Notamacropus eugenii: one gene and its partners. The protein of the gene in region 4 purifies or fractionates together with the protein of the main gene of each other region. This does not show direct contact. Links are inferred from orthologs where the notes say so. Each region holds a gene or a part of one and is shown on either strand. Other genes may lie near its edges. The genes, in order: SRSF5, PRMT5, COPB2 and ESR2.

Region 1 (7,034 bases), about 1.4 Mb from region 4:
GCAACCTGGCACTTTAAGGAAGTGCACCGATTACGTCTAGACCGGCAAACACAGATCTAGAGGTGGCCAACTGATCACTGTAGGAGCTGACTGGCAAAGTCAACCAGGCCCAACCAAGAGTGACCAAGACAGAACGATTAGGATAACCCACAGGCACTCCTCGTCATAAGGCCAACGACACAGATAGGCTGGCAAATAAAGGGTTTAATATTTGGTTAAAATTGATTTTAAAACAAGAAAAATCCTCAAAAACATTTACATTTGATCACTATCATTACTCTAGGCTTCAAATATCCCCCAATTATGTTAAATAGTTTAAAATGATATTATAGATGTCCAGTTAAGTTCATATTTAAAGATAAAACTACTTTAGTAAAAGGTTTAATATTAACTACCCATTATTTTTTAAAATATTGAAGAAGTTTTAAACCTTATTTCAACAAACCTGCCAGCTGACTCGTGAAGATAAATTCTCAACTATAAGACGATTTTCTGTTCGCACAGGTGGGGCATTTCTGGGGAAAAAAACAATTGAAATGGAAAAACACTACTTGTGAGTTTTAAGAGACAGGACATTTTACTTATTCAATTCTGTTTTTAAAGTAGAATACCTTAATTCAGAAAAACCCATACCTCCTATCATTTCGGGGACGGCGGCTACTAAATCGATCAGAATACCTCCCTCTTCCTCGTCCACCTCTTGAACGAGCCCTGGCGTGTTCAATAGTAACCCTAGAATAAAGTAGAAAAGTCTTCATTAATAATGCTTACAAGTTCCCAAGCACTCATATACGTTCTCATTTAGGTTTTAATCCAGTACGTATTGACAATACAGATGTTAAGCCCCTGTTAGAAATTGAATTATATGACTCAAGTCATGGCCACAAAATTAGTTAAATATCTATTCAGGAATCAAATCCAGGTTTTCTCTTCTGACTCCCAAGAGTTCAACACTCTTAATTTTGCAACACACCATCAGTATATATTTATGCACAGCATGTAGATATTCCTATGAACACATTTGTAAAATAACATTACAATTAAAAACTTTTATAGGACCTATGTAGAGATGCATAGAAAATTCACCTGGCAGTTTCTGAGGAGTGTTGCTCATTTGTGAGACTTCTTTAACTCAAAAATGAAATATTATAATCCTGTTACAAGTTGCATCTTTTAAACATGTGACTAAAAAAACCTCTGGCTTTTGAGATGACTTATACTAACTTACACTGCTTGTCATACTGCAGTGTCTAAAAACACTAGTTAAATAAACTTGGCTTACATTTATTTAACAAAAAAACTCAAAAAATAGAAGTAACATGATTTCACAGGCTCATAGGTTTAAAGGTGAAAATAATTTTCTAGGTCATCTGGCCCAACCTTATTTTTATATATGATGCAAAATTAACTCAGAAGCCTATGGTCTCATAGGCAGTAACAGTTGGGTCTTGAACCCAAATCCAGCAGTAATTTTTAAACAAAAAAAGATTTACCGCTCACTGCAGAGTTCCTTTCCATCAAGTTCATAAACAGCATCATCAGCATCTCTTGGATCCTCAAATTCCTAAGAAATGAATCATTTTAGCTATTTAATTACAGGAAAATGAATAACAACAGATGTGCAGCACTAGGCAAACTTAAATCACTACATGTTAGTAAACTAAGTCAATATGAATAACTATCTAACAATCTATGTACTCCAATACTAGATAACAGCCCATTAACGTTTAAAAATTTACATTTCCTCTTAAGATGTGGAATTTGTTAAAGCTGTATTAGTGCAGTATTTTCCTTGATTGTATTAAATTTATTTAACCTCACAGCGTTAGGACAGTTTGAATTTTAAAATAAAATTCATAGCGTTTTTTTCTTTACTAGCAACAGTTTTTACTGGATACCTACCACAAACCCAAAGCCTCTCTTCAGATCAATGTCTCTTATTCGTCCATATCCTTTAAAGAACCTTTCTACGTCTTTCTCTCGGGCTGCCGGATTTAGCCTTCCAATGAATACTCTACAGCCACTCATGGTGTCCCACTTCGGATTCCTACGAAAAAGAAAGGCTACGTTAGTTATAAAACCAACAGGAGCGTTCGAACCCAAACAGGGTGCTCACGTACGGATCAGAATTTCAGCAGATCTACAAACTAGGGCGGTTTCCCAGTAATCTTGACTCCGCACTCGCGGGTCACTTCACCTTACCCCCTACCGCAGCCGCCGCAACGCCCCCGGAGGTCGGAGACTGCGCAGGCGCACTTCCCCTCCCCTCCGCCGCAGTTGGAAGGACCGAGAAGCGAAGGAGGGGCGTAGGCTACATCCTCCGCATTCTCGGGGCCAATCTAGAGCAGCCGCGTGAGCTCCTTCCTCGCCAGAGCGTCACAGCCAAATGGAAGCTCCAATCACGCGACGCGACGCCAGCGCGTGCGCAGTAAGCAAATAAAGCCTCTGGAACCACAAAATGGCGTCTGGGCGGGGACGGGACTGGAGTGGCGCGCGCAAATCTCTCTCCACTTCCCCCTCCCCCACGAACGTTCCCTACCGACCCGCCGACCGTTTAAGCGGCCGGTTTGGTGGATGAATGCACGTTAAAGGTCTGACTTCTAAACCTAACACTTAGGCCTCCTGAATTCAGATAAAATGGGAAAAAGCCCGGAAAGATATAACGGACACCGCCCCAACACCCTTACAGCCCTCTAGAAGACACGACAGACGCTTCCGGGTAGCAATCTTTAGTCCTTTTCAGGCCCCTACAACGAGAAAGGACTATGGCTTGCTGGTAACACGGGGTATTCCCCGTGTCCTGTCTTAACCCCCACTACGGGGAGGCAGATACCGGAAGAGCAAAAATAATTCCGAAAGGAATTATTTCCTTTAAAAGGCCAGTCGCTTACCAATCTAAATGGGCAGGAACTAAAGCGTTAAACCCGCCGGAGGCAGAGACGGCGGAGCGGTCGAAAGTCCACCAACAGCGTTGACTCGAAGAGCACGAACTTCCTCAGGCTACGTCTCTCTGCAACTGACGCACTTATCCACTAGGACGTTCCACAAAATGGAAGGTACTGGGCGTGCGTCACTTCCGGCCCTAGCCCAGAGCAGCACGTGACCTTGTTGCTCGCTCTAAGGCTTAAGAGACTGGCTGAAGGGGCTGGAGGCTCCTCCTCTTCCGTCCCAGAGGCCTAGCGCCGCTGGGGGGCGGGGCCAAAGGCGGACTTTGAGGGGAGGGAGAAAGGCGGAAGTGGATGGGAGGGCGTTTGTAGCTTTTAGTGGTAAAGGGCAGAAATGAAGGCCGCTTGACCCGGCCCTTTGGTTCGGGTTTATTATTCGGTATTCAGGAAGTGTCTTCCCAGCGCTGGGTTCAGCGTTAGACCCGGAGGGTAGACGGAAGTGAAGCAGGCCCTGCCCCCTAGAAGCTCCGGTCCCATAGGGCCGATATGTAGAACCCGAAAATGGAAAAGAGAGCCCCAACAGCTTCCAGGTGGGGAGGGCCAGGTTGGGGATCATCCCAAGGCATTCCACAGCCGTTGCCTTTTGGGGTGACTGCCTCTGCAGTTTACCTGGCCCTTCACCCGGCTTTTTGTCTGCTTGCTTGCCCCCTTGTTTAATCTCCACCCGTTTTATTAACGGGTATTATTATTGAGTCTTATTCTCAAACAAGCCAGCAGCCCGCACTGGTGTCCAGGCCTGCAGAGGGGGACCCACCACGTGTCAGGCTTGCATGCGTTAAGACCCCGCCCCCGCCATGCGGGCTTTGTGGGCGTGCAGAGGATGTGCAGGACTGCAAACCTTATCTAGCCTCATATCCTTGGTGTTGCCAAGCAATCATTTGAACTAGAATGAAGTATCATTGCTCTGTCTCCTCTGCCGGCTCTTTTCAGTTTTAAGCTACAGAGAAGCTAGATGTTTGCGTTTAGGAGACAGAATGAAGTCACAAACTCTCACTGCTGGAGCCCTCCCCAGCAAATTCAGGTCAGGCTTTTGCTTGCAGCCAAGCCAAACAAGCAGATGTGATCCCGCTTTCACCTGGCAAGACCTTCAGATATTGGAGAACCAAGTGAACTTGTCTCCAGGCTTCTCCTCTCCATGCCAGACATCACCATTTCTTTCAGCTTTTGGCCTCTTGGCCCTCTGCTTTCTTTTTCCCCATCACGGATGCTCTCCCAAGTTTTTCTCTTCCTTTCTTTCAAACAGGGAACTCTAAAAGACAATAGTTTTTTTTTTCCCCTTCTGTTCCAGATGCCACCTTACTCTGCAAAGTTCTCCCTAAAGAATTGCATCTAATTTATTGTCTCTCCTGTTGGAAGGTTTCCCTTCACACTTAGCTACATTAAACAGAATTTTACTTTGTAACTATTTCTCCCTGCCAAAGGCCACTGTAGCCCTTCCGAGTTTAGTTTAAGTACATCTCCCACTCCCTAGGCAGCAATTCTTAAACTCTGGATTGTGACCCTATGGGGTCAAGAAAAATTTGGCAACGGCAAAAGGTTTCTGAACAACCAGCAACCAAAAATTAATTATAAATCGAATGCATCATGAATCCGAAGCTTTTCTGGCGGCTCTTGCTTGCCTGTGTTGCCTTGTGCAACGTCACTGCAGCCTTGGTTCTGAACTTGCAGTATATGCACTTTGCACTGCGCATGCCCTCAGGCCGTGTGACCCTTGTAAGTAAAATTCTCTAAAAGTGTTATTTTAATGCCTTTTAACAAACAGCATAAGCTTAGTTTAACAAAATCATAGTATTTCAGAGTTCCTAGCAGCTTCGTTTGATGAAAAACTGGCCTAGAGCACTGAAGCAATTTTGGAAATTTGGAGAATTCTAAATGAAAAGTCTCTCCTCTGCTCAGTAGAAGTATAGCAATGCCTCTTCATCTTAAGTGGAGCCCTTACTAGGAATTGCTCTCCCCATTTTTCAGTCTGAATTGATTTGCTGTTTTTACCAATATCCGCAGCTCTCTGGCCTGTAATTGCTTGCATCTCTGACAATTTACCCTCAAACCTCCCATTCCTTTACTCTCACACTCCTAAACCAGGGCAGAAAAAATAAAGTGCTGCAAAGTAGGGCACTTACATTGATTTAATATGGAAAAGGGCTACTCAATATCTTCTCCTAAAATTTAGAAAAATCTCTATATTTACAAAGAGGTTTGAACTGCCAGTGTGAGTTCTGAGTATTCATTTGCTATATTGAAGAGGGAAGTACTGAAATTCACAATTGTGTCTGAAGCTTCTAATTGGTGTCTATGCTTTTGGGAGGGTTTATGGAGGAGGAGGGATAAAGGAGAGGGTCTTAGGTGCAAATTCTGAGAAGAGTGAAAGGGATAGGACTTATGGATGTATGGGGGTTACAGGAAAGGAGTTTTTTAGGGAGAAAGATAGGGTCTTTTTATTTCCCAATTTATCCCAGTTCCTCCCTTCAACCCCTCTCACACACATGCATACACACACACACACACACACACACACACACACACACACACACACACACACACACACACACACACACACACACACACACACACACACACATATTCTCCTGCAAGGAGTCTGCTCCAGCAGTTTCTTATTCAAAGTACACATCTAGAAATTCAAGGTGACTTAAAGTAGCAATTTTAATTAAATGACAAAGCTCTTTAACACTCTAATCACGGCACTGAATGAAGCAGCTGATTCAGTCACAGGAAGTAAAAGTGGAAGCAGTTACTAACAATATTTTCAGCACTTCTTTGCGGTGTGTCAACAAAATAATTAATAATATACCAACCAATATTAAAACGCTTACTATGAGCCAGGCATAGATCAATGGGTCTTTAGAGTTTAGATGGAAGATTCCTTATTTATCTTTGTATAATTCCTTGTTTGTTGAACAATAGAATCTGCATGCTTGTTTTTTTGCTATGATTCTTATCAATAGGTTATACTGAGGACTGTAGGAAATACTAAGATCCACCTTGGCCTAGTGGGGAAAGAGATTTTTTGAGTCTAGTTTAGCAATGTGAAGACCTGACCTATTGCTAAATGTGTGACATAAAATTTTATTTTATTCCCAGCAGTGACAAAGGCATCAATTCTTCCAATAAAATTTTACATAGATAAGTTTACCAACATGCAAAATCTACTTAACATGATTGTTTTCAACTGTTAGGATTTGAGTTTAGGGTGACTTCATTTACCTTACCATTTTTTTGGCTAGGAATTCCAGTCAAGAACAGAGAATGTCAGAAGTTTAATGGGAGGAAACTTCAGAGCCAACTCAGTGTTCCATAAAGAGGACAAGGTGGACAAGAGAGAAACACAACTTGGCCAGTACTGGGGGAATTGGGATAAGCAGAGAACATTGTATTCCAAGTGGCTAAACTCCATGCAAGATCTTAAATTCCTAACAAGAAAAGCTAATAAATCAACTAACTGGAGGACTAGCCTGTGCCTGATTGTTGATTGTGATAGCACTCTCCACTCCCTTTCACGGGGTCCTTTGGCCATTGTAAGGGAGGGGAGATTTGGGTGGAAAATCTTCCTCTGTGGGACTTGGCTTGTGTGGCCTGGCCAAGTTCTAGTAAAGTTGACTTTCAAAATGTACTACAACATGCATCTTTTCTGAATGGTATTTTACAATTGACATTTTAATACAGGTTGTATACAGCTGCTATTGAGCTGTTCTGTGTATCTTATTGTTTTGTAATAAGATAATTTTATCCAAAGAAAAATCCTATACTGGTATCTCACTTGTACAAGCTTAGTACACTGTTGGTAACCAACAGAACTCCCAAGCCTAATCAGAGTAACATGGGATTTAGAGCTGAAATGGATTGTAAAGTCATCTAGTCCAGCCCCCTCATTTTTCAGTTAAGGCCTGTTTGCTGAAGGTCTCCCAGCAGCTGCATGTAATAAGTCAGAATTGGAGCCTAGGGCCCCTAATTCCAGGGGTTTTCTGCTCTATTCTGCCTCCCCAAGTGTTCTCTCCCTCCTCTGAGCTACTGTAGCATTTGGTATTTCTATAACCTAGGCTTGGCTGAACATGCCCAATTATAAAACAAAAC
Region 2 (7,461 bases), on a different chromosome or scaffold from region 4:
ACTTACTCCCAAACCAAGCATTTTGTTTAATCACTGCCAGAGGAAAAGGGCATCAATGAAGAGGGGCCTAAGTCATTCATTTTATATATCCTAAATCAATCCCCAAATAATTAGTACATGGCTTTAATATGTTTAATGCCCACTTGGCATCTCAAGGCAGCTCAGAATACCTCATAACTTTTTGCAAATAGCAAAATATACTTCAAATATACTTCTGGATCTCAGAATCCCAAAAGTGAAAACTGGGGACTGAGGAAACAAAGGAGAACAATATAATTCCTAAGTTGGTGCTTTATTATTTAATCCTATGGAAATATTTCCTTTGAAGATGGGTTCCATGAAAAGTTAAAAGTTTCCTGTGCCACATTTTCCCTTTATCTCTGGACCCCTTCTGGAATTAAATATGAAAAGAGAATTGATCTAAGGGGAAATTTCAAACACTCATATAAACAAGGTAGAGAATCACTAGGGAACTAAAGGATGAACGTTACAACTCTTCACCCCAATGTATACCCTTTTTACCTTGAGGAGCCGGAAGATTAATCTCTGGTGCACCTTAGAAAGGACAGGAAATCCCTTCTTATTGGTCAAGAAGATGCTGGTGGGAAGGATGGCTGCTTTGATTGGCTCCCCAAGCCATCGGTCAATAATATGACTGGATGGGAGATCAGCACCAACTTCAATAGCTATAGTATGGAAAGAAAGATCTACTGAAGCCCAAACAGGCTTTCTTATCTGGGAGTCTATTACAATCTAGCTATGTAGCAGCCTGCTATAAAGTAAAAAGAAGTTACCCAAAGTCTCAAGCTAATCTGAAGCTTCACACCATGACTTCAACTCACATGGCGGAGGGGGGAAAGAAGCTCTAGCTATGGCAGCCTGCCACACTCACCCACTGCAATCCTCTTGCTGTAGTCACACAGGGTACGAAAGTTATGCCACCTGACCAGAAGAAAACAGAGCACAGGGCCTGCCAATCATTATACTCCTTCCAGCTGTCAGTCACTGTCCCACAGCCTCTAGCCCATTCTTCTCCCAGCCCTGGTTCTAATCTTCTGCAATAACAGAGAGAATCACATACCACATCCATGTCTTCTCCTCCCCAGTGTATGCCTCTGTCCGTTGAAGAGGCTCATTCCCAATGACATCATCCCGAAGGTCTTCTGCCGCCACCAGGGGTACCCGTATCCAGAACTACATGGAAAGAAACTTATTACCCTTGCCTCCACAAAGTTTTCTTTGATTAAAATGAAAATGATCCCAAACCAGTGCTACACCCTTTAGAACCAACATGTTTTTCTTGTTTCCTGCAGACTTAAGTAGGTAGTGCTACTTCATGGAGACAATGCCCATTTGTATGTTTAGGCTAATATCTATTTGTCTATCTTGTCTTCCAATTCAACTCTATGTTTTCTGAGACAGAAATAAATTCTCTTTATTAAAAGGATTCATTTTTTTAGTAACAGTATTTGTTTGATATATCCAATAACTGACTGATCAGCAATCCTAGGCAAATATAGAAGAACAGCAGGGTTCTTTCCAATCCATTTTATGCCCAATGTATTAGGTAGCCTGGTTTGGGATAAAACAGTATTAAATACAACCCAACCACAGCACAACACTGCCCATTCATCTTCTGGGTCTGGGGAGGAAATCACTTAGGTCATACCATGGAAGAATGATGGCCTGTGTGAATGTGATTGGTCAGAACTCTGGCCAGGTTAGTGTTATCTTCTTGAGTGAGAGGTAGCAGGAAAGCTGGAAGCCCCAGGTATGCCCCAAAATTCAACTCCTGCAGCATGGCCTGGAACAGAGACCAACACAGACAGATTAGTCAATGATGTCCCAAATGGCTTCCATCCTTGCGGTGCGAGACAGAGCTGACAGCAAGGTGTCCCAACAGCCGCTGAAATGTGGTCTGCCCCAGGTGGCCCCCAAGGGTCCATGACAGCCACAAGGCATCAGCCAAGGAGCCTCACCGCCTCCGAATTCCTTCTTATCTTCTCCACTCTGGAATCGGGGCGGATCCATGGTGACAGCTTCCCCACAATCAGGGTATTCCAGTCTGCATGGGCCAGGAAAGACAAAAACAGGAGAGGGGTGAGGACGTGAGCCCGCTTCTGCCCCTGGCATGGGGCACCACAAACCCGGGGCGTACGAGGGGCGGGCAGGGCTCAGACAATGTGGGGGGCGGGGCTCCTACCCCGTCCGGACAGCAGCAGGTCGGACCGAGTGTGGGGCCCGGGGCGGCTCTTGGCAGGCTCCTGGGCGAATTCCCTCTTGAATCGGGGGTGGAAGACGGGCATGCAGAGGAAATCAAAGCTGAGACAAAGACAGAGGACCCGGCCCGTACATTAGTAAACCCACAGCGGCCCGGCCCACGTGGGCCGGACCAGCGCGCACTGCCCACGCGCCAGGGGGGCACGGGGGGGCCTCGATGCCCCCCAAAAGGGACTTCGTGGGAAGGAGGAGAGGGAAAAGGCAGGACCCCCCCTCCGGCGGCAGGGCCGGCCCCCGTGGGATCTCGCCCCTGGCACGGGTGCCCCATGCCCCAACTATCGCCGGATTGCCCGCACACCGTGCCAGCCCGCTCCCAGCCTCGGCAGGGGACACGTGCGCCCGAGCCTCTCCACCCACCCCCATCCGCCGCAGAAATGGTCTCTCCCACCACGGTCCCCTCCCCCTCCCCCCGGGGCTGGGAATAGTTTCTCCCACTCCATCTCCCAGAAAGCGCGCGTCCCACCCCAGAGAGGAGGGAAAGGAAAACGGGGCCCTCACCCTTGTTTGGCCACGGCCCCCAACGTATCGGCCACTTCGGGGACGCAGTTGAGGTCCCGCCCGCTGGACACGCGGCAGCCGGGGGCCCCAACTGCCACCGCCGCCATTTTCCCCCTCACGTTGTCTCTCCAGGACCCCTGGCTCGCAACAACCAATGGCGAAGCGCAGAAGAAGCCGGGTTTCCCCGGTAGGCGGGAGGAGTCTCCTTAACAACCCGAGCGTCTCCTTGCACTCAGCGCCGCGGGGTAGGCGGGGCGAGGTGTGGGCCTCCCTACCAATCAGGGGGCGGCGCCGTGACGAAAGACAAGAGACCTGGAAACCTACCAATCCGAGGGCCCCGTTTGTCCGCCGAGTCTACTTCCCGTCTCGTCTTAGGGAGAACCCTTGAAACAGGTCCAAGCGAAAAACTACATCCCCCATGAAGCCCCGCGGCATGCTCTTGAACACGGGCCGCGGCCAGAGCTTTTTCGTCCGAGGGCCAGTGGCGCAATGGATAACGCGTCTGACTACGGATCAGAAGATTCCAGGTTCGACTCCTGGCTGGCTCGTTGGGAACGGCTCCTCTTTATTGCTCCCTCGGGAGGCATCTTCTGTCCTCTCGGTCTCCGCTGTTTTCCTGCGGTCCCTTATGGATCATGGACGCTTCCTCCGTCTGCTCTTCCAGCACCATAAGGGCCTTCCGAGCGAAGAACGCGGCCTCGGACTCTACTTCACGGTAGACCCCGCCAGGCCCGCGCTCCCTGGAAGCTTCCAGCGGGAGAGGAGGCAGGGAAGGGACGTGGAGGCCGTGTCTGCTGCTCCCGAAAGCTGGACCTCACGCGCAGTCACGGAATTCCTCCGTCCGAACTCCCCAGAAGAGAGTGGGTCCAGGACCTACGTGGGCGTGCCCCGCGGCCCGTGGGCACGTCGGGCCGGTGCCCCCCCGGTGTCCCCCCAGCGTCCTGCGGGTCGTCCAGGCTGCCCTCCCCCGCGGCCAGTCCTGGGGTCTGCACCTTGGACACCGGCCTAGCCCCGCTCGGGCAGCTCCAGGGGCTCCCCGCGACGCGCAGGACCGGGCAGGAGGCCCCCGCGCCCCCTCGCGCCCCGCTGCTGGCCCACGACCCTCCCTCCCCCAAGCGCATCTTCTCTGGCTGCCTCCCCTCTGAGGCGATCCCCAGTGTGTCCTGCAGGTATGGTGGGTGTGCATGCACCCCCGCTCCTCTACATGTCCACATCCACACGCGTGTGCGTGTTGGTGGTGGTCTGCCTCACTCAGAGCAGGGGCTGTTGTTTGCCTTTCCCTGGATCCCTAGGACTTCGTACGACAGCCTGGAACCCAGGAAGGGCTTCGTAACTGCTGACTGATTGCGTCGGTGCGTTCTCTAGACATCTTGTTTAAAGGATCAGGTGTAAAGCTGGTGAAAGTTTGTCTTATCTTATCCATTCTCCTCATGCCAGTCAGTGTAATATTAACGATATCTCGTGCGTTCCCTGTAGACTGTACGCTGCCCTGGTGTCACTTCCAGGAGAGCATCTGATGAATTACAGACCGATGGATGACCGGTGTTATCTCTGCCTCTTGGAAGACTTACAGAAGGCAAATGGATGTCTACTAATGGAGGAATTTCTGGCATGTTGGTATTTGAGTGGGAGGAAAAGTTTTACATGGGAGAGTCTTCCTGATGCCCTAGAAATCACACCAGTAAGTAACTTCCCATCCTCCCTGCCCTGCCATCTCACTGTATTAGGTTCCAGTTCAGGGAGTCAGGAGATCTTGGTTTGAGTATGTCACTCACTACTAATGATGGGGCTCAGACTCTGGGAGCCTCCTTGAGCTCCCCTTGAATCTTCCCACTTAATCTGGCCTTCCTTACTCAAGTCTAATCTTCGCATTTGTTCTGGCAGTCTCCGGAAGCCCATGGGCTTTTCATTATCTTTCTACTCTAGTCTCCGTTGCACCACCCCCCCCCCCCCTTGATCCCATCAAAACCCCATTCCCCTGGCTGCTGACCACTCCCATCAAGATCTGTATCCATTCCCATACTGCCCCTAGATCTGTATCCATTCCCATACTGCCCCTATCAAGGTCTCTGGATTGCCCCACCTGCTTCCCACCCAAACCCACACTAATCTGATATCTCCTGATAGCCTCCAGCTGATTCCAGCCTTTGACCCTCCTTGGATTCCCTCCTTGGACTTCTCCTCAAGACCCTCCCTAAACACCTCCTCCCATCACCCTGGACTACCAGACCACCCCCAGATCCCTCCTACACTCTTTTCTGTATTTAAGTTCCATCTTGCCTCCATGAAGGCGCTCAGATTCAATCCAGCTCAGACTCTGTCTAGCTGGGATTCTGTCTGGCCTGCTTGTGAATACAAGCTTTACAAATGCTTAGGCGCCTTAAGAGGCAACCCAATTTGGTGAATCTTTAATAAACTTTGTTTTCTTTGGCTTTAAGAAGGCTTGAGTAGAATTCATTCGAGCACGACCCGGACTGTCGGTATCTTGGGGTCCACAATCACCCCTCAACCTCGTCACTATGTGACCTTTTTCAAGTCCCTTCACTTCTGAGGACTTCAAATGACCATTAAGTGCTATGTATACATCATTGTGCTAGGTGCTGTAGGAGATAGAAAGTTTAGAAAAGACCCAAGGCCCAGTGGCACCCACAGTCTAACAGGATCCATAATAGTAAGATCCATACTCAGGAAATTGAAATACACAAGAACACTTGATAAATAAAGTTTGCCCAGTGATGTGAGAGAATGAGCACTGAGCAGGTTATCCCTGACACATGGAGAGCCGAGGGAACGTCAGGGAAAGGATGACTATTTAGTTGGGCTTGAAAGAATAGGAAAAAATTCAACAAAGGAGGAGAGAAGGCATTCCTTACCTAGGTATTGGCCCAGGCAAAAGCAGGAAAGGCACGTATCCTACGGTATTTTGGGTAAGGATAAATGGGAGATGGAAGAGCACAGTTTAGCCAAAGTAACAAAATTAGGCCAGAGGTCTTCTCAAAGTCTCCCGGACTCTTAAAATTCTAAGAATGACAAGAACCTCATCAGACTATTTTATTGTATTCCCCATGGCAATAAATACCGTATTCAGAACTGGGCGTATTCTTGGACTTGTTAATTGATTGATTGCATAAGAGGCTATATAGAATTAACCTAGAACATGCCCCTTACTATCAGCTAAGCCTACGGTTACGTAAGAATCAGAAAGACACAGTAAAGAGCACTGATTGCTTCCATCTTTGTTTTTTGGGGAGACTTTAGGTTTTTTAATCAATTTTCAGTTGCGTATCCTTCTATATTCTGTTTTAAAAGGATGAGGGGAGAAACATTTCTTTTTTTACCTATAGAATTGTAAGGAATGTAGGACTTTGAATTGTGAAGATGGGCTGAGATAGGGAGAAAGAAGAATACAGTGGAGTGAGGAATGCCTTTGAGGAAAAAAAGAGTTTATCTCAGCCCTACAAAAATGGGTGGAAAATATGGATGCTTCATCGCCTTCACTGAACAGACTTACAGAATTTCAGAGTTCAAAAAAACCACAGTGAGCTTACCAGAAAAAGAATTCACTTGATCACTTATCCAACAAGTTGACATCTGGCTTTTTCTTGAAGAACTCCAACAAGTGGCATCCATAGCTTCCTGAGGCAGACCTTTTCACTTTTAGATAACCTCAACTGTTATAAAAATTTATCTTTGTACAATTTTTCACTCAGGATCTCATCCACAATAATTCTTCATTTGGTGTCAATTCTCTCCTCCATATGACATCCTTTTAATTACTTGAATATATCAATCATGTTCCCACAAAATCTTTTCTTCTCCAAGTCAAACATTTCCAGTTCCTTCAGTCCCCATGTAGTATGAACTCAAGGTCTTCACCATCCTGATTGTCCACTCTGGACAATCTCCTGAATATCAATATTCTTTCAAAAATGTGGCATCTCTAACTGAACACAAATACAACAGATGTTTGATGGCCAAGTAAAAAGGGATTGATACTTTCGTATTCCTGAAATTCATACCTTTCTTAATGTACCCTAAAATCATATTAGTTTTCCTAGCCACTATATCACATTATTGATCCATATTGCACTTGAAGTCCACTAAAACTTCCAAACCTCTTTCAGATGTTCAGCCTTGCCTCCACCATCTTGCATTTGTGAAGTTGAATTTTTTTAACCCTGGACATAGATGTGTTCCTATTAAATCTCATCTCATATGATTTGACCCAATGTTCATACCTGTTAAGACCCCCTAATGGGTTATCTATCTCTCCTAGCTTTGTGTCATCTGCAAATTTGATGAACACATGTTTCTGCTCCCAAAACACATCATTGATAAGAATGTTAACATGAGACCAACCACAGTTCCTTTTTTGATTTTTTTTTTTATTAATTGTCCTTTGACCAATACATTATAGAAAATTGCTAGGGATTAAAGTCAGGCTCACTAGCCTATAATCTGCAGACTATTTTCTTGCCCTCTTTGAAAATCAGAGCATTTGTGCTTCTCCAATTTTGCAGTTTTTTATCTTGTTTTTCCTATTCTCTGTGATCTTTCCAAGCACACCAAGAATGGTTCATCAATCACACATCTGCCAGTCCTCTCAGTACTAGAGGATCTGGGTCAAATGTCTTAGATCATTAATGGTAGGTAGGCAACTCCCAGTGTGGAAATTCCCTGCAC
Region 3 (7,967 bases), on a different chromosome or scaffold from region 4:
ACTGCACTCAAATGAATTTATGCTGAGGTCTTCCTGAAAAATCTTGTAGGTTAAGTATATTGCCTTTTGATACCTATCACAGTATCTATAAGTACCTAATTTTGTTATGACCTAAAACTTGAAAAACTGACTCAGCCTAGAGAAAAATATCTATTTTTATTTTAATGATATAGAAATAGTATGAAACTGTTTCGACATCATCAGATCCAAACCTTCTTAGATTAGTGCAGCTGAACACACCACTGAGGATCTCAACCTTTTCCAGAGGGTGAATTCTTATTTACTGAAAATTATAAGATTATGGATTAAGGCAGTGACCACCAAATTGTTACTATGGGAGAATGGACTATTATCTGCTTCCTTTTCCTTCCAACTCGGAAACAATAAATCACAGAAAATAAGGCTTGGAAGTGGTGAAAATGTCAAGGTCTTGCCTCTGAAACGTCTCTGGCCCATTGAGAGCTCTACTTTATTCTAATGTTCAGCTTGTCCACATTCCCTCGCTTCCCCAAAGTGTTTCCTAATCTTTCCTTATCACAAGAATAAATCTTTAGGATAAGAAAAATGATTATTAATAACCAAGGATTTGGAGATATACAGAGTTCTCCCTTTTTCTATAGTCCTCATTTCAAAGCTCAGTCTCTTGAAGGATGTTACTGATAATGAGACTGAATTAACTTCCTCAGCATTGGTCAGGTCCCACCTAACCTCACAAGGAATTTAATGTAAGGTGGAGAAGCCCACTGTGCTCCGCTCAGGTTTGGGGGGGAAGGGATAAATTCTTTCATTAGATTGCTCAAGGCTGGGGGTAATTGAGAAGTAAATGACATAATCAAAGTTCATTTGCATAGGTCCAGTCCCTCATCATTAATATTCTTTCTCTTATTACTTGTTAACCAGTCAGAGTTGATTGCCACCCTCGGGAACACCCACTTTTCCAAAGTCACATAAACCTTGAGGGAGCACACCACAGTGACAGTCTGGCATTCTAGAGTGCCACTGACCTCTTTTATTAAAATGTTAGCATTATTATTAAAATGACTAGTTAGCCAGAAATTATGTCTCTTGAACTTTTTAAATGTCATAGGGAGTAGGTGGGAAACTACTAGAACCAAACATAAAGGCATTTTCCCCAAATACGTGTATCTTGACTGTGTCCATGCTATTCTCTTTCAGGTAGGGCCATCAACTCCACCTCTTTTCTATGAGAACTTTGGGCTCTGCCCCTAGCACCATCAAGACTGAGTTTTTGCCTTGTCTTATCTGGATCCAGGCTTCCATCTCATTTCTTATCTCTATACCATATCAGAATGTGTACTATACCTTTCTATCCCCTCTTTATGTACTGTATTCTCTATTAGAATACAAGCTCCTTGAGGACAACTCTTTTTTTGTTTTTATTAATATAGGGACACTTAGCACAGTGCCTGGCACATATTTAACCATCAATAAATGCTCTATCTATGGAAGTGTGTGCATTCTATCTTGTTAAAATGTTCATTTCAACCACAGTGAAAGAACAAGCTTTCCTTTTTTATTGTGTTCAATATCTAGTACATTGTAAAGCTCTTATTAGTTAAAAGTAGCTATAAACTAGGAGAGTATTTAAAGTATGAGTTATATTTATGATGGCCAGAGTAAGCATCCTCTACAAAGTCAGGCAGAAGCACTGTGGGACAATAAACCTACCAATGGTGTTTAGATCATTGCTGAGGGACATTGCCAAAAAAAGATTATGAACTAAGAGTTCAATACCGTCGTCAGTCAAGTAATACCTTATATTTACCTAGTAATTCAGTTACCAAATGAATGCAAGTTTATCTCATTTGATCCCTACAACCCTGTGTGCACAATTCTATCTACATTTTAGAGGTGAGAAAACCGAGGTTCAAAGAAATTGGTTAAGTGAAGTGCCGACAGATGCACAGCTAGTCACAGCAGCCATGCTCCTGACCTGGGGCACTTCTGATTACACCATACTACATGTTTAAAAACCATCAAGTTATCTATTTTCTCCCCAAAGATCATTATCGTTGCTCTTCCTTTGTTCCCAAAGACTGGGAGAGTCTTCTCAAAGCTATTCAGAGATGAAGATTCTATGCTCTGCCTCTGTCAGTCACTTGTCCTTTCCTATGAAACCCCAAATTTCCAACATTTATCTGTTTCCATCAGTGGAATGGATTAGATACGTAACACACAGTAGTAAATGACCATAGTAATCTAGTGTCCCAAACTTTTGGGACAAGAAAGCACTATTTGACAAAAATTGCCGGGAAAACTGGAAAACAGAATGGAAGACTCTAGGTATAGACCAATATCTCACATAGTATACCGCGGAAAGGTCAAAACGGGTACCTGATTTAGACATAAAGTGTGATACCAAAAACAAATTAGGAGAGCAAGGAATAGTTTACTTCTCTGATCTATGGAGAAGTGAAGAATTTATGACCAAACAAGAGACAGAGAGGATTACTATACAATGGATAATTTTAATTATATTAAATTAAAAAGTTTTGGCACAAACAAGACCAAATGCCATCAAGATCAGAAGGAAAGCTGGGAAGAATTTTTTTTTTTTACAGCAAGTGTCTCTGATAAAGGCCTCATTTCTCAAATATATAGAGAACTGAGTAAAATTGATATACCAAGTCACTCTCCAATTGATAAATGGTCAAAGTATAAACAGAAGAAATCAAAGCTATCTATACTTATATGAAAAAAGCTCTAAATTGCTATTATTTAGAGAAATATAAAATTAAAACAATTTAATACAAACTAAAACATCTCACACCGATCACATTGGCTAATATAACAGGAAGGAAAATGATAAATGCTGTGCAGGATGTGGGAAAACAGGGATACTAATGCACTGTTAGTGGAGTTGGAACTGATCTACCAATTCTGGAAAACAATTTTGAACTAGTTTCAAAAGGTTATGAAACTGCATATCCTTTGATCCAGGATTACCAATAAATAGTAGGTCTATAACCAGAGATTAAAAGGAGGGGGGGAGGGGCGATTACCTATTTGTACAAAAATATAGTAGCAAAGAATTAGAAATTGAGGAGATATCCATCAATCAAGGAATGGCTGAAAAAGTTGTTGTATATGATTGTAATGGAATACTATTGTACTGTAAGAAATGACAAGCAGGGTAATTCTAGAAAAACCTGAAAAGACCTACATGAACTTATGCAAAGTGAGCAAAACCAGTACATTGCACATAGTAACAGCATTATTGTATGATGACCAGCTGTGAATGACTGGGCAATGCAAGGATCTGAGACAATTCCAAAGGATTCATGAAGAAAGATGCTACCCCCTTCAGAGAAAGAACTGATGGAGTCTGAATGCAGATTGAAGCAGACTATTTTTCACTTTATTTTCATGTTTTTGTCTGTTTTCTTTCACATGATTAATATGGAAATGTTTTGCATAACTGCACATATATAACATGTCAAATTGTTTACTCTCTCAAGGAAAGGGGAGAGGAAGGAGAGAATTTGGAACTCAAAATTTTGAAAAATGAATGTAATTGGGGAAAAAAGTAAAATATTTTTTAAAAATCTGTCTCTTCTTGTACAAGGAATTTGTATCCCACTTTTAAAGCCCCTGGAAAAATAGTTATCAAACCACAGCCCACATCATTCTCTTCTCCCCCCAAAAAAACCTTTGATAGAATAAATATCAGAGCTAGTGACAGTCAGAGCTACCCCCTATCTTTTACAGAGTCAGAGACTGAGACCAACAATGAGAATGCAAGGTGATTTAGTGGAGTTCCGGATTTATAATATTATAATGTATATTATGCAATAATAACATATAATATATAGTAATTATCACAATAGCTCAGTTACAAAACTTTAATCAAAACTTCGATGGAAAGCACTTCTGATACATTATCTTAGCATCTCACATTAAAGAGGCTGCTCTGGCCTCACTATCTCTGGGTTAGGCTGTTTACTCCTCCCCTCCTTCCCTGCCCCTCTCCCTTCGTCTTAGGTACCCTGTGAAACTTGGGGTTATTTTTCATTCTACTTCATCAGCCCAAAGCTCCAGTGACTGCTTTCTCCTATTTTAGAGGGCCAGTAAGTAGCCCCCCAATTCCATATAATCACTTCACATACCCGTCTGGGTTGCCAAGAGTTTTACAAAGGCACATTTACTTCATAGATATAGTAAGAAAAAAAAAAGTACATTTTCCCCAACACTTGTGGGTAAAGTTTCTCCCTCCCCTCACCTTAGTTCGGTTCCTACACACAGATGAGCTAAGGCTGAGAAGTCAGAAGTCACCAAGGATCTGAAGCAGGATCCGCACCCCCCTTTTCTCTTCACGAGCGCCACCCGCCCCCTCCCGATGCAGAGGTCGTGTGGCCCAGGGCAAAGGCTTCTGCCCTTTCTGGCCATTGATTTTTCTCATCGGTAAAAAGGCAGGGTGGGGAGGAGGAGCCCGGGCGATCTCTAAGATCCCCTCCATCTCAACATCCTCTGCGGGGAAGCGGCAGTCGGGCCCTGAGCCTGGGCCTCATGGGCTTCTTCACAGCCCCGGTCGCTCCACTGGGCCGGGCTGCCTTCTTTCTTAGGGACAGGAACAGGAAGGGCGCCTGGCGGGGCACCAGGAAGGTTTTCTTCCCGGTCTTCCCTCGCTCCTCTGCTCAGGAGGGGCGGGCTCCCCTCAGCCTGGGGCTCCGCGGGGATGTCTCTCCTCCCGGACCCCACGTTCCCTGCACTGCCGCGGAACCTCTGGATCCTGGCCCAATAAGCATGCAATCCGGCTCAGGGAGACCCCCGGGCTCCGGGTGGGTTGCCAAGGCAACGGACGGAAGTGAGGTGTGCTGGGTGAGGAGGAATGTGAACCCCGAGCCCCGGCGCCGCGAAAACTCTCGCGAGGTTAGTCCCGGCGTTCCCGTGCTGAGACGCCAGATCTCGCGAGAGCCGGCCTCCCGGAAGCTCCACGTCAGTCAGTTGGTCAGTGTTCTGCCAGCGCCAGCGTCAACCCCGAGCTAGCGGGCCCCGGGACCCGGCATCGAGCGAGGGAGTTCGGCGTCGCTGACGGAGCCATGGTGAGACTTTGGCCTTGCAGGCTTCAAAATAAACGAAAGCGCGAGGCGGATCGGCGCTGGCCCTGCAGGGGTTGCCGTGGCCAGGGCAGCTCCGGAGATCTCCTCAGGGCCTCCTACGACGGGAGAGGGGGAGGGGAAGAGGGGCCCCGGGAGCCCTGGGCTTCTGCCGCCCGGTCCCCACCCGGCTGTGTGCAGGAGTTACGGGCCCAGGTGTTGTGGGACCACCGATTTCCGAAGGAGGGATGGGGCGGGGGACGGACCGCGAGCGGGAGGCGGGGCGGGCTGCAAGTGGGAGAAACGGGGTGTCGGCTTCTTTCCCTCGTGGGTGAACTCTTTGACCTCTCCGAGACGCAGTGTCCTTATACGTGAAGTGGAACGATAACACCTGTAGCCCCTGCCTCGCGGTGTTGTTCCTAGGACCAAATGAAGCCACTTGGGCACAGTGGTTTGCAGACCCTTAAAGCCCGGTATCACTGTCAGTCTGCTGCTGCTCTTCCTAGAGATGACACCCAGAGAAACCAGGACTGTGCTGACTTAGAGACTGGATCGTAATGGCTGGTTTTCGGGGCGGGTCATTTCTCAGGAGATGAAAGTGACAGTCATTGTTAGCATCAAAGTTGTACATTAAAAGCGTTCATTTAGATGCTTTTCACGTTATTTTCCAACTCTACGGTCATGATACAAAGCTGGAGGTACTTGATCTTATTATACAGCACTTAAAAGGTATAAAGTGAAGTAAAGAATGTCAAACGTTTTTATGTATATAAAGGACAAATTAAGTCTAATAAAATTGTCTCCAAACCCTTTTAACTAGAATTTTATAAATCTAGAAAAGTTGAAGTGTACATTACTAAAGTGTTTTACAACTATATTTTTTAAAAAGTTTGCTATATAAAAATGCCTATTATCCATTCCTTATATTTCTAAAAACAAAAGTTGTCTTTTTAATGTCACTTGAGTATTCTCATTCTCATAAATATCTTTACAAGTATTTGGTAGTGTGTTATTATATTCAGGGTTTCCTCAAAAGTGCACATTTCTTGCCTCTTAGGAAATGTAAAGAAGTCTTTCTGCCAGGTTGAATTATTTTTTTCTTTCCTTTTCCCATCACAAAGATTGATGGACTCAGAATAATTTCGTTATGAAAGAATTTTAGGAAAAAATTAATCTTTCAAGAGGAGGGGATGGAGGTCAGAAAAGGTTAAATGATTTGTCCAAAGTTACACAGTGAATAGCAACAACAGAGGTAGAATCATAGAGTTTGAAGGGATGTAACAAGTCATCTAGTCCTGTCCCTGAATCTCCTCCTACTGTGGCAAGTCAGCATTCAACCTATGTCTAAGCATCTTTAGGTACACAGCATTTAGTACTCCAGGAGACAGTCTACTCCAGTTTTAGAGAAATCTGATTTTTAGGAACTTCTTTGTAAGGTTGGGCTCATTCTATATAATTTTACCCACTGGTCTTTGTTTTGCTCTCTAAAATCACTCACACGATGGTTTTTTAAATATTTGAAGCTAATTTGTGCTAAATCTCCTCTCTTGAACAGTTTTTTCAATAATCCCATTTATGGCATGGTTATGAGTCCTTCTACCTCCCTTTTAGCTTGTCAATTTCCCTCTTAAAATGTAGCATCTAAATATAATAATACAAATGTGGTCTAACCAGTGCAGAGAGACTGTTCCTTTTTGGTTATGGAGATGTTTAAATACCACTTTTTTATGAAGCTTCCCTCAGGATGTCATGTGACATGTTATTTTGTATAGACATCTATGTAATGCATTAATTGTGTTTTATTTACCTATTAGACTATAAGCTTTATGAGGGCATGGGCTTTGTCTTAACTGATCTTTGTATCTTCCTTTGTTATCTAGAAAAAAATAGATGCTTACTGAAAGCCAAGTGTTACTAATGCCCAAGTGGACAAAGTTCCAGGGTAATTGTATAGTCAGTAGCATCAGATGCCGCAGAAATCAAGGAGGTTGAAAACTAAGGAGAGGCCATTGGCAGTTCACAGGTGTTTGGTGACATTCAGAAGAGTAATTTGGGTTAAATGACAAGGGAGGGAGTATAGAGTTCGTGAGTGATGAGGAAGTAGAGGCAGAGATAACAGTTCTTTTCAGGAATTTGGCAGTGAAAAGACTTTAAAAAAAAAGCAAGCCAGGATGTAGCTCAATGGAGCAGCAGCATAAAGAGATCATTTTTTAAAATAGGGGAGAATTAACATGTTTGTAGGTAGAGGGAAAGGAGCCACTTGGGGGAATTGCAGAGGGAGGCTGGAGTGGATGGAATCAAGAAAGCACAGAGAAGTACTAGAAGGTAGAAAAAGTATGTGAAGAAAACAGGGAAAGCCCAAGATAGTGAGGAACGTATGGCAGTGGATGTTTTGAAGTGAAAGGAAGGGAATGTTAGGTTGCTTGAAGTTCTCTAGAGAGGAGTAACTCATTGTCTCCTAAACGATCCTATTCTACTTGGGGATAGCTCTTTTGGTAGGTTTTTTTTTTCTGTATGTCAAGCAGATATCTACCTCTCCGTAACTTCTTATCAGAACTTTTTATTCTGTCATTTTGGGCCAAAAAGAACAAGGCTAATCCATCTTCCATTTGGCCCCCTCTCCCAAGTAATCTTATCCGCCACTAATTCTTGTTTGGGCTAAATATCAGTTATTTCAACCACTTCTCAAATAGCATGACCGAAGCTTTTCATCATACTGTTTGCTCTCCTCCAAGTTACATCCCAGGGTAGCTATAGTGGTGATTGTGATTATTGAATATTAATTCAGAATTTTTAGGATAGTAGAGGACTGAAAAAGAGCAAATAATGTCATTCTAACTTTTCAAAAAAGGGAATAGTCTATATTTTGTAACCTGAATTTGATTTCTGGTAAAGTTCTATAATGTATTA
Region 4 (7,971 bases):
AAAAATAAAGCAGCACTGGTATTTTAGACAAAAACTTCTCCTATCATTCACTGTACATGAAAATAACTTGGATTTGCAGAAATACTAGAAACAAACAAATCAGTTAAAATAAAAACATAATGCATTGTTTTAAACTGTACATAAAATCCCCCAAATCTGTGTTTCTTACAATGGCCTCTAGTTCTGAAAGTACCACTCGGAAGTCCAAGCATTAACACAGTGAATGAAATTAGGCTAAAAGGAATAAAAAGTGTGATTAATAGGAATAAAATTATATATATGTATTTTATACTTAAGTCATTTCAAAACATATACATCATTTATTTTAACCTTGTGGTTCTCCACTAAAAGTTGCCATTTTTCAACCACTGTCTGCTCTCTACCATGCAACTAAATACAGCTTCAGGCAGCCTTCTTTATATCAAATGGTATGAAATTAAGGTTAAAATGCCAGGATTGCAGTGGGATTATAGAACTCAGGGAACAACAAAAGGCATAATATTTTAACTCAGGGAAGCTAATGATTTAAACAAAAGCAACTTAATTTAATGAGTAATTAAAAATTAATGTCCTAATGGGAATTTTCAACTAATGCTAGGTGTCATTTCCCTATAATGTTATTAATAGCTTAAACATTTTCCCAAAGTCCATAACTTTAAACATTAATGGCTAAAACATTTTCTCAAAATTCATAATACTAAAGCCTAAAATGTCACATTCAACAAAAATGAAGCGTTTTCTCTTATGGACAGAAGCAGCACAAAATATGAGCCCAGGATAAGTGAAATAAAGCTCTGAAGGGCAGACATTTCTCCTAACTAAAAGTACCCCTCAGAGCCAAATCCAAAGGCTTGTTGTATTCGTAACACTTGTTGATGCACTAAATATATAACTTCCCCCTTCCTTCCAGCAACTAGATTCTAAAACAACACAAACTTTTCTCCGAAAAAAGGCAAGATAATGACCACAAAGATTAGTTTCTTTATAACCAAAGTACACTTATAAGATAGAATATTTTTAAGTGCTTAAGTGTGGTAAGTGCTGATAAGAAAAAAGACTATCCCTAATCAAAGTATATGAGTTCAATGAATATGTAGTTAACCTTTACGATCAAATCAAGCATTCCCTTCACTACTCCTATTCTCATCTCATGTGTACAGGGCAAAAACAGACATTTAAAGATAGTTAGCAAGATAATTAATTTCTCCAAAAGAAATCTTTTCAGGTTGCTAAATAAGACCCTGAGATACACATATCTATGTATCTACATGAATAGATAGTTATAGACGGACATAAACTCAAGGGGTGATATTATTCAGTAGCAAGGTAAATAAAGTTTCATTTTAAAAAAGTACACCATTTGACTGTCCTGAACTATGATTTCCTCCTGTCAAAAAAGAAACCATTACAAACCTCACTTTCATTTCCCAAAAAATAAAATATTTTCACCTGAATGACATTCTCATTCTATCAATTTCAGTTTGCCAGTAAGAAATAGACCACTGATAAATCCCTATTTCTTTAAAGCTTGTCTTCCTTCTCAACCAATAAAACAGCCACATCTTGCCCAAACCTCTCAGACTAAAGTCCATCTACCCTTGAACAGGAAATATCACTAATTGATTTAATTCAGCTAGAACAACTACCATCTGACCAGTCACCCCACCACAAATCTCCCCATCCCCAGAGAAAAATATTGTGTTGCATTCTTTTTTTTTTTTCAAATTTAAATCAAGTGGAGAATCCCTGAAGAAGATACTTTAGAAGGAAAAACCAGAAGGAAATTTTAAAAATTCTTGTGTACAAATCAACACAAAAGTGTTTCTATTTCACAGATGGCACATACCAGTAGAAGAGATTAACTTTCCTCTGCCATAAACGCAGCAGTTATTAGTTTCCTAAATTTTTTTGTTTGTTTGCTGCTCTCTAGATGCTAGTGCCTCTGCACTCCTGAATTTCAAAAAATTAATCCAAGCAATTAGATTCTGAATCAACTGTTGTACCTACCTGCAGGGAAACAATCCGTTTCTTCAGAACAATCTGGCCAGACTAAGCATGCACATGGTTATCTTGCAAGAATTCTCAATGCTCTAGGAATCCCAGTCTCCCCAAAGCTGGCTTTTAGCTTCAGGAGGGATCCCTCGCAGCTACTAAGACTGTAGGACGCATCCAATCCCCACAAGCACAAGCTAGTCAGTGACCGTTTTTACTGGGCAAGAAGATACCAAGTCATCAGTACGAGTCTATTACACCTACAGCGGACCCTCTTGCTGTCTGTTTTCCAAGGGAGGAAGGTAGAGTTTCTTCCTCCTCCTTCCTGACACAAGTTTCAAAGCAACGCGTTTTCAGGAAAGGCAGCTTTCGTTTTCTCGAGCATCAAGTGGTTAAAAAAAAGTCAAAAAAGCCTAAGAAAAACGAAATCACAAATAATTCACCAGCTGTTGTTCATGTCCCCTCTCCCCTCACCCTTTCCTCTTTCCCTTTGCAAATAATCGCAATGGGGAATTGAAGCTGACGCCCCCAAATGAGTAAGCCCACCTTTCTCTCCAGAAACACTTTGCTTCTTTTTTCCTCCAGCTTGGGCAGGACTCTAAAGAGCCGGCATCATCCTTTGGGGGACCCTAGGACAGCTCAGCTGCTCCCCTAGCCACTTCCAATAGTCTTAGGGGGACCCTAAGACCAGTAGTCTTATTCGGATCCTTCCAAGACTATTGGAGGTAGCTGGGGAGCAACTGAGATTTGTGAACCACATCTGTGCCAGGAATCAATGCAGGTTTCTGGCTCCTGGTGTTATAAGCATTTCCCAAGAAACCATAGTTCCCTGCAATAAAAAACAGGCGGGATGGTCCGTGCTTCTGAAGATACAACATACACTTGAAGGGGTTGAAGCTGAGTCCAGCTCTCAGGCACCTGAAGCACAGGTTAAGAAAGGAGCAGGGGAGCATGGTGCTTGCTCCACTAATCAGTTACAGGAGTCTCAAAGATCAGACCAGCCATTCCAGACTGCAGCTGGATAAGGCAGTAGTACAGCTGATTCTATTGGGAGTTGAGACGCCAGAAGCTGCCCCAGCCCCAATTGCTTATGAAGGAATTCTCTTCTCAGCCTCAGGACCCTCCAGTGTGGAAGCTGCTGCCCCCTTGTGGCATTTTAGATCCCTCCTTCTCCCACCCCTCATAAAACAGAATTTGTTCATTGAGTGTGGGTGGAGAAGAAAGGTGGCAATGAGTGTCTCAGATCCAACTAACCAAGTCTGTTTAGGGGATAGGGCTAAAATACTTCACTCCATTAATCATATATTGCTAGAAGAGACCTTGAGGTTACTCAGTTCAACAACTTTGTGTTTACAGACAAAGAAACTGAGTCCCAGATAGGTTAGGTGACTTGCCCAAGCTGATACAGATAACAGATCTAAGAATCAGATTCAGGTACTTCTCTTCCAGAGGTAAGTTCTTTCAGGAGTAGCTAGCTGGCAGCTAGGAGTGGTGAGCCTGGAGTCAGACAGATTCATCTTCCTGAGTTCAAATCTGACTTCAGATCTTTACTTGCTGTGGGACCCTGGGCAAGTCCTTGAACCCTATCTACCTCAGTTTCCTCATCTGTAAAATGAGCTGGAGAAGGAAATGGCAAACCACTCTAATATCTTTGCCAAGAAAAACACAGGCGGGGCCATGAAGAGTCAGGCACGACTGAACAACAACAAAAGTGTTCTTTTCACTATAGTTTGAAAGAATATGGTTGTATGTGTTCATTCAAAAGCAAATGACAAGGAACTATGGAAAGAGCCTTGGATTTGTAGAGAGAATCTGAATTTAAACTCAGTTCTTCTATGTTACCATGGACAAGTCAATTAACCTCCTTGAGCCTCAATTTTCTTATCTATAAAAAATGACAGGGTTGAACTAAATGATTTTGATGGTCCTTTGTAGCTCTAAATCTGTGCACACTTCTATGCATGGTATAAGTGGTGATGCGATAAGGGTGCGATCCCAAGCACTTTTGTGAAGGAAGGACAAATGTTCCCAAGCATAAATGTCAGAAGGCATCAGACCTGTGGTCCATCTATTTATAATCCAATACTGCCTCTTCCAAAGAGACAAACAGCTGTTTAGAAGTTGTCCTCTGTGATACCAGCCACAGCAATGTGAAAGAAAGGAGTCAGTCCTGGGCCTGGAATCAGGATACCTGACTTCACTGTCTATTTGCTGCTCAGAATAAAATCAACCTGACTTGCCCAGAAAAAATTCTACTAATTGATGCAGTTTGAAACTGCTATCATCTGCTTCCTACATACAGGCTCCCCTACTTTGTGATATCTAAAAGAGATCCCTTTTCAGGTCTCAACTTCTCCATTGCAAAATGAAAGGAATCATAGGTTCCTTGTAGCATCTGATCCTAAGACATTAAGTATCTAACCTAAAGCAACCTAATTTCCCTTAATAGTGTAATATAGAACTATTATTTATGAATCTCTAAGTTCTTATCTTAAACATATAATTTTAGAAAAAATCATCCATCTCTTGATGTACATTTTTCAATTAGTTTTAATTTCCTAGTTAGCACAGAGAAATCCTTCCTTGCCTTTGATTCATTTCTGAGTTCCAACTATGTTCAGGGTAGGGTTACTGTTCTCAAAGTGCTTACAGGCTAGTAATGAAGATAAATTAGAATAGAATAGAATAGAATTCAGTGAATAGAATTCAGTGAATATATGAACAAGGCACAAAGTATTATGAGAAGGTAAAGGAGGGACTGGAAAGTTAGAGGTTATAGAGGTGACAGGGAGGACTTCATAGAAGGTGTGGCCTTTTGAGATGGAACTTGAAGAATGTGATAGCATTTGAAAAAGGGATGCCATGAGAAACGTTCACTGGGGCAGCAAAACACAGAACTTCTTTGGACAATGAGGGGTCTGTTTTGGCTGAAACAAAAGGTATACATGTGGGAGTAATATAAACCTGGAAAGATAGGTTAGACCAGAGGATAGAGGACCTTCAGTGATGAGGTTAGGAGACTTAGGCTTGTTAGGTAACAATAGTTAGCTATTGATTTTTTTTTGTTACTTTATTTTGAAAGGTTATATGACATATTAGAAAGAATATCGACCTGGAGTCAGAAGACCTGGTTTTAATTCCTGACACTTACCCTTTGAGGTTACTAGATGACTCAGTAGATAGAGCTCTGGGCTTTGAATCAGACAGACTCATTTTTATGAGCTCATATCTGACTCCAGACACTTAGCTGTGTGACCCTGGAGTGTTAAGTCACTTAACCCTCTTTGTCTCAGTTTCTTATCTGTAAAATGAGCTGGAGAAGAAAATGACAAACCACTCCACTATCTTTGCCAAGAAAACACCAAACAGGTTCATGAAGTATTGGACACAACTGAACAAAAACTTATCCTTTCACAGTCTCAGTTTCCTTATCTCTAAAATGGGAATAATTCTTATACTACCCACCTTATAGCATTGTTATGAAGAAAGCTTTTGCAAAACTTAAGCAGCCTATAAATATAATTTTTTGCTGGGGGGTAGGAGAGTATCATGATCAGTGTGTTGTAGGTAACATATTGAGTATAAAATTTTCAGCATTTACACCTTAGAAATCAGTAAGTGCTACAAATCAGGGCTAGATTTGTTGTTTTGTTGCTCGTCTAGACTTAGGAAACTGATGAAGAAAATGTTAGTAATACAAATTAATCTTAAAAGTATATTCTGTGCATTGTTTTCATTTGTTTGTTTTTGGAGAGCCAGTTGTTAAACATTTGCCAGCATACTCTTGCTCAGATATGTGTGTGTGTATATATACACACACACACACACACACACACACACACACACACACATATATGTATGGATAGACAGACAGACAGACAGACAGACAGACAGACAGACAGACAGACAGACAGATAGATAGATAGATAGATAGATAGATAGATAGATAGATAGATAGATAGATAGATAGATAGATATAGATATTCTAGATTACAGGGGACAAGAACCTGAGGCAGGGAGAAATAAAAGATAATGAGGATCTGAATTAAGGTGATGGGAGTGGAAGTAGACATAGAGAGACATGAAATAATAACTCCTAGATTTCTCTATTGAGTAACTTAGAGAAAGGTATCTTTAACATAATTGGGTGTTTGACCTAATTTATTTTTAAGAGCATCAAGTGGTAACCTCTAGTTCTAGTAGTTTAAGATTTGGTAAACAAAGTCTACACTTACCCTATTTATATTCTTTTTGTATTTTTTGTATTTTTTTATTTTATTTTTTTTTATTTTTTGCGTTTTTTTTATTATTTTTTAATGTTTAACAATCATTGCCATACAATTGAGATTTTATCCCCCCCACACCTACTCCCCACTACCCCCCTCCCTCCCCACGACTGCATACAATTCTGTATAGGTTCTACATATACTTTCCTATTGAGTACATTTTCACTATAGTCATGCTATGTAGTCGGACTAAAATAAATGGAAGAAATCATATAACAAATCAAAACGATACACAAAAACATACACATACACAAACATGATCTTCTACATTCTGCGAATGACTTCCATATTTCTTTCTCTGAGTGTGGAAGGCATTTTGCCTTAGAGAACCACCATTGGGATTTTTTTTTTTTTTAAGAAGTTCTTGCCTTATTACGAAATTCCAAGTCTACCAGAAAAAACTCTCGCACACTGTGGTTGTTGCTGTGCACAAAGTTCTCCTGGTTCTGCTCCTTCCACTCAGCATCAGGTCATATAAGTCCTTCCAGGCCTCTCTGAAGTCTTCTTGTTCATCATTTCTTATGGCACAATAGTACTCCATTACATTCATATACCATAATTTATTCAGCCATTCCCCAATTGATGGACATCCCCTTGACTTCCAGTTTTTGGCAACTACGAAGAGTGCTGCTATAAATATTTTTGTACATGTGGGACCCTCTCCCATTTTTATGATCTCTTGGGGATACAGTCCTAGTAGCGATATTGCTGGGTCAAAGGGTATGCACATTTTTGTAGCCCTTTGGGCATAGTTCCAAATTGCTCTCCAGAATGGTTGGATGCGCTCGCAGCTCCACCAACAATGAATTAGTGTTCCAACTCTCCCACATCCTCTCCAGCATTTATCATTTTCTTGTTCTGTCATGTTTGCCAATCTTATAGGTGTGATGTGGTACCTCAGAGTTGTTTTGATTTGCATCTCTCTAATCAATAGTGATTTAGAGCATTTTTTCATATGATTATAGATATCTTTAATTTCTTCTTCCGAAAATTGCCTGTTCATATCCTTTGACCATTTATCAATTGGGGAACCTATTTATATTCTTTATAATTTTAAAGACAAGAAGAATGACAAGTCCTAAGTGGCCAAGAAAGTATGTGGAGAAGTAATATAAGGCATCTAGCAGGTAAAAAAAAGGTAACTTGGGGAGGAACACATCCTAGGCAATGGAAAACTCTCAAATTTGTGTACACATGAGGATGGAACTATCAACAACCCACTTACCCCTTTCTTGCTACCTTTTCACTTCTGGCTCCTCATGGCACTAATAACAGCACAGGTTTAAATAGAGAATGGGCTGGGAGTGCTGGCACCTCATCTGTGCTCTCCTATGAAGCAGTGTCATATGGGAGAAAGAGCACTGGCCTCATTAGAAGACCCATCTTCAATCTGTGGGTCTGTCACTCACTAGTTCTGAGACCTTAGATGGGTTACTTAATGTGTCTGAGTCTCATTTACTTATCTGTTAAATAGAAATAATGCCTGCTCTGTTCTGCCCCATAGAACCCTGAGGAGTTAATGCATTTAGCAAATATAGCACCTAGTATTATATAAAGCTCTTTGTAAACATAAACTACATACATTACATTGAAAAATATTAGCTATTATGAACAAAATAAGAAAACCAAAGTGTAATAGAAAGACTGTTGGATTTGAAGTCAGAAAACTGGATTCAAATTCCAGCTGAATTTG

The links.
Region 1: the proteins of ESR2 (region 4) and SRSF5 purify together in Homo sapiens (affinity purification with mass spectrometry; 3 studies listed by BioGRID and IntAct, with this or other methods). This does not show direct contact. The link is inferred for Notamacropus eugenii from reciprocal best matches to the Homo sapiens genes ESR2 and SRSF5.
Region 2: the proteins of ESR2 (region 4) and PRMT5 purify together in Homo sapiens (affinity purification with mass spectrometry; 3 studies listed by BioGRID and IntAct, with this or other methods). This does not show direct contact. The link is inferred for Notamacropus eugenii from reciprocal best matches to the Homo sapiens genes ESR2 and PRMT5.
Region 3: the proteins of ESR2 (region 4) and COPB2 purify together in Homo sapiens (affinity purification with mass spectrometry; 3 studies listed by BioGRID and IntAct, with this or other methods). This does not show direct contact. The link is inferred for Notamacropus eugenii from reciprocal best matches to the Homo sapiens genes ESR2 and COPB2.

What each region holds. Positions count from the first base shown.
Region 1 is NC_092872.1:309,637,246-309,644,279, forward strand, and holds the start of SRSF5 (serine/arginine-rich splicing factor 5), read right to left. Parts: upstream 3,029-7,034; 5' UTR 2,892-3,028; intron 2,048-2,891; 5' UTR 2,029-2,047; coding exon 1,903-2,028; intron 1,565-1,902; coding exon 1,494-1,564; intron 733-1,493; coding exon 634-732; intron 516-633; coding exon 446-515; intron 189-445; coding exon of another isoform or gene 138-188; exon of another isoform or gene 1-137. UniProt on the Homo sapiens protein: Plays a role in constitutive splicing and can modulate the selection of alternative splice sites.
Region 2 is NC_092878.1:10,219,170-10,226,630, reverse strand, and holds the start of PRMT5 (protein arginine N-methyltransferase 5), read right to left. Parts: upstream 3,042-7,461; 5' UTR 2,886-3,041; coding exon 2,779-2,885; intron 2,323-2,778; coding exon 2,204-2,322; intron 2,066-2,203; coding exon 1,980-2,065; intron 1,805-1,979; coding exon 1,670-1,804; intron 1,195-1,669; coding exon 1,082-1,194; intron 943-1,081; coding exon 893-942; intron 687-892; coding exon 523-686; intron 1-522. UniProt on the Homo sapiens protein: Arginine methyltransferase that can both catalyze the formation of omega-N monomethylarginine (MMA) and symmetrical dimethylarginine (sDMA), with a preference for the formation of MMA.
Region 3 is NC_092876.1:327,603,629-327,611,595, forward strand, and holds the start of COPB2 (coatomer subunit beta'), read left to right. Parts: upstream 1-4,927; 5' UTR 4,928-5,060; coding exon 5,061-5,063; intron 5,064-7,967. UniProt on the Homo sapiens protein: The coatomer is a cytosolic protein complex that binds to dilysine motifs and reversibly associates with Golgi non-clathrin-coated vesicles, which further mediate biosynthetic protein transport from the ER, via the Golgi up to the trans Golgi network.
Region 4 is NC_092872.1:308,278,440-308,286,410, forward strand, and holds the start of ESR2 (estrogen receptor beta), read right to left. Parts: upstream 3,057-7,971; 5' UTR 2,539-3,056; intron 2,406-2,538; 5' UTR 2,008-2,405; intron 1-2,007.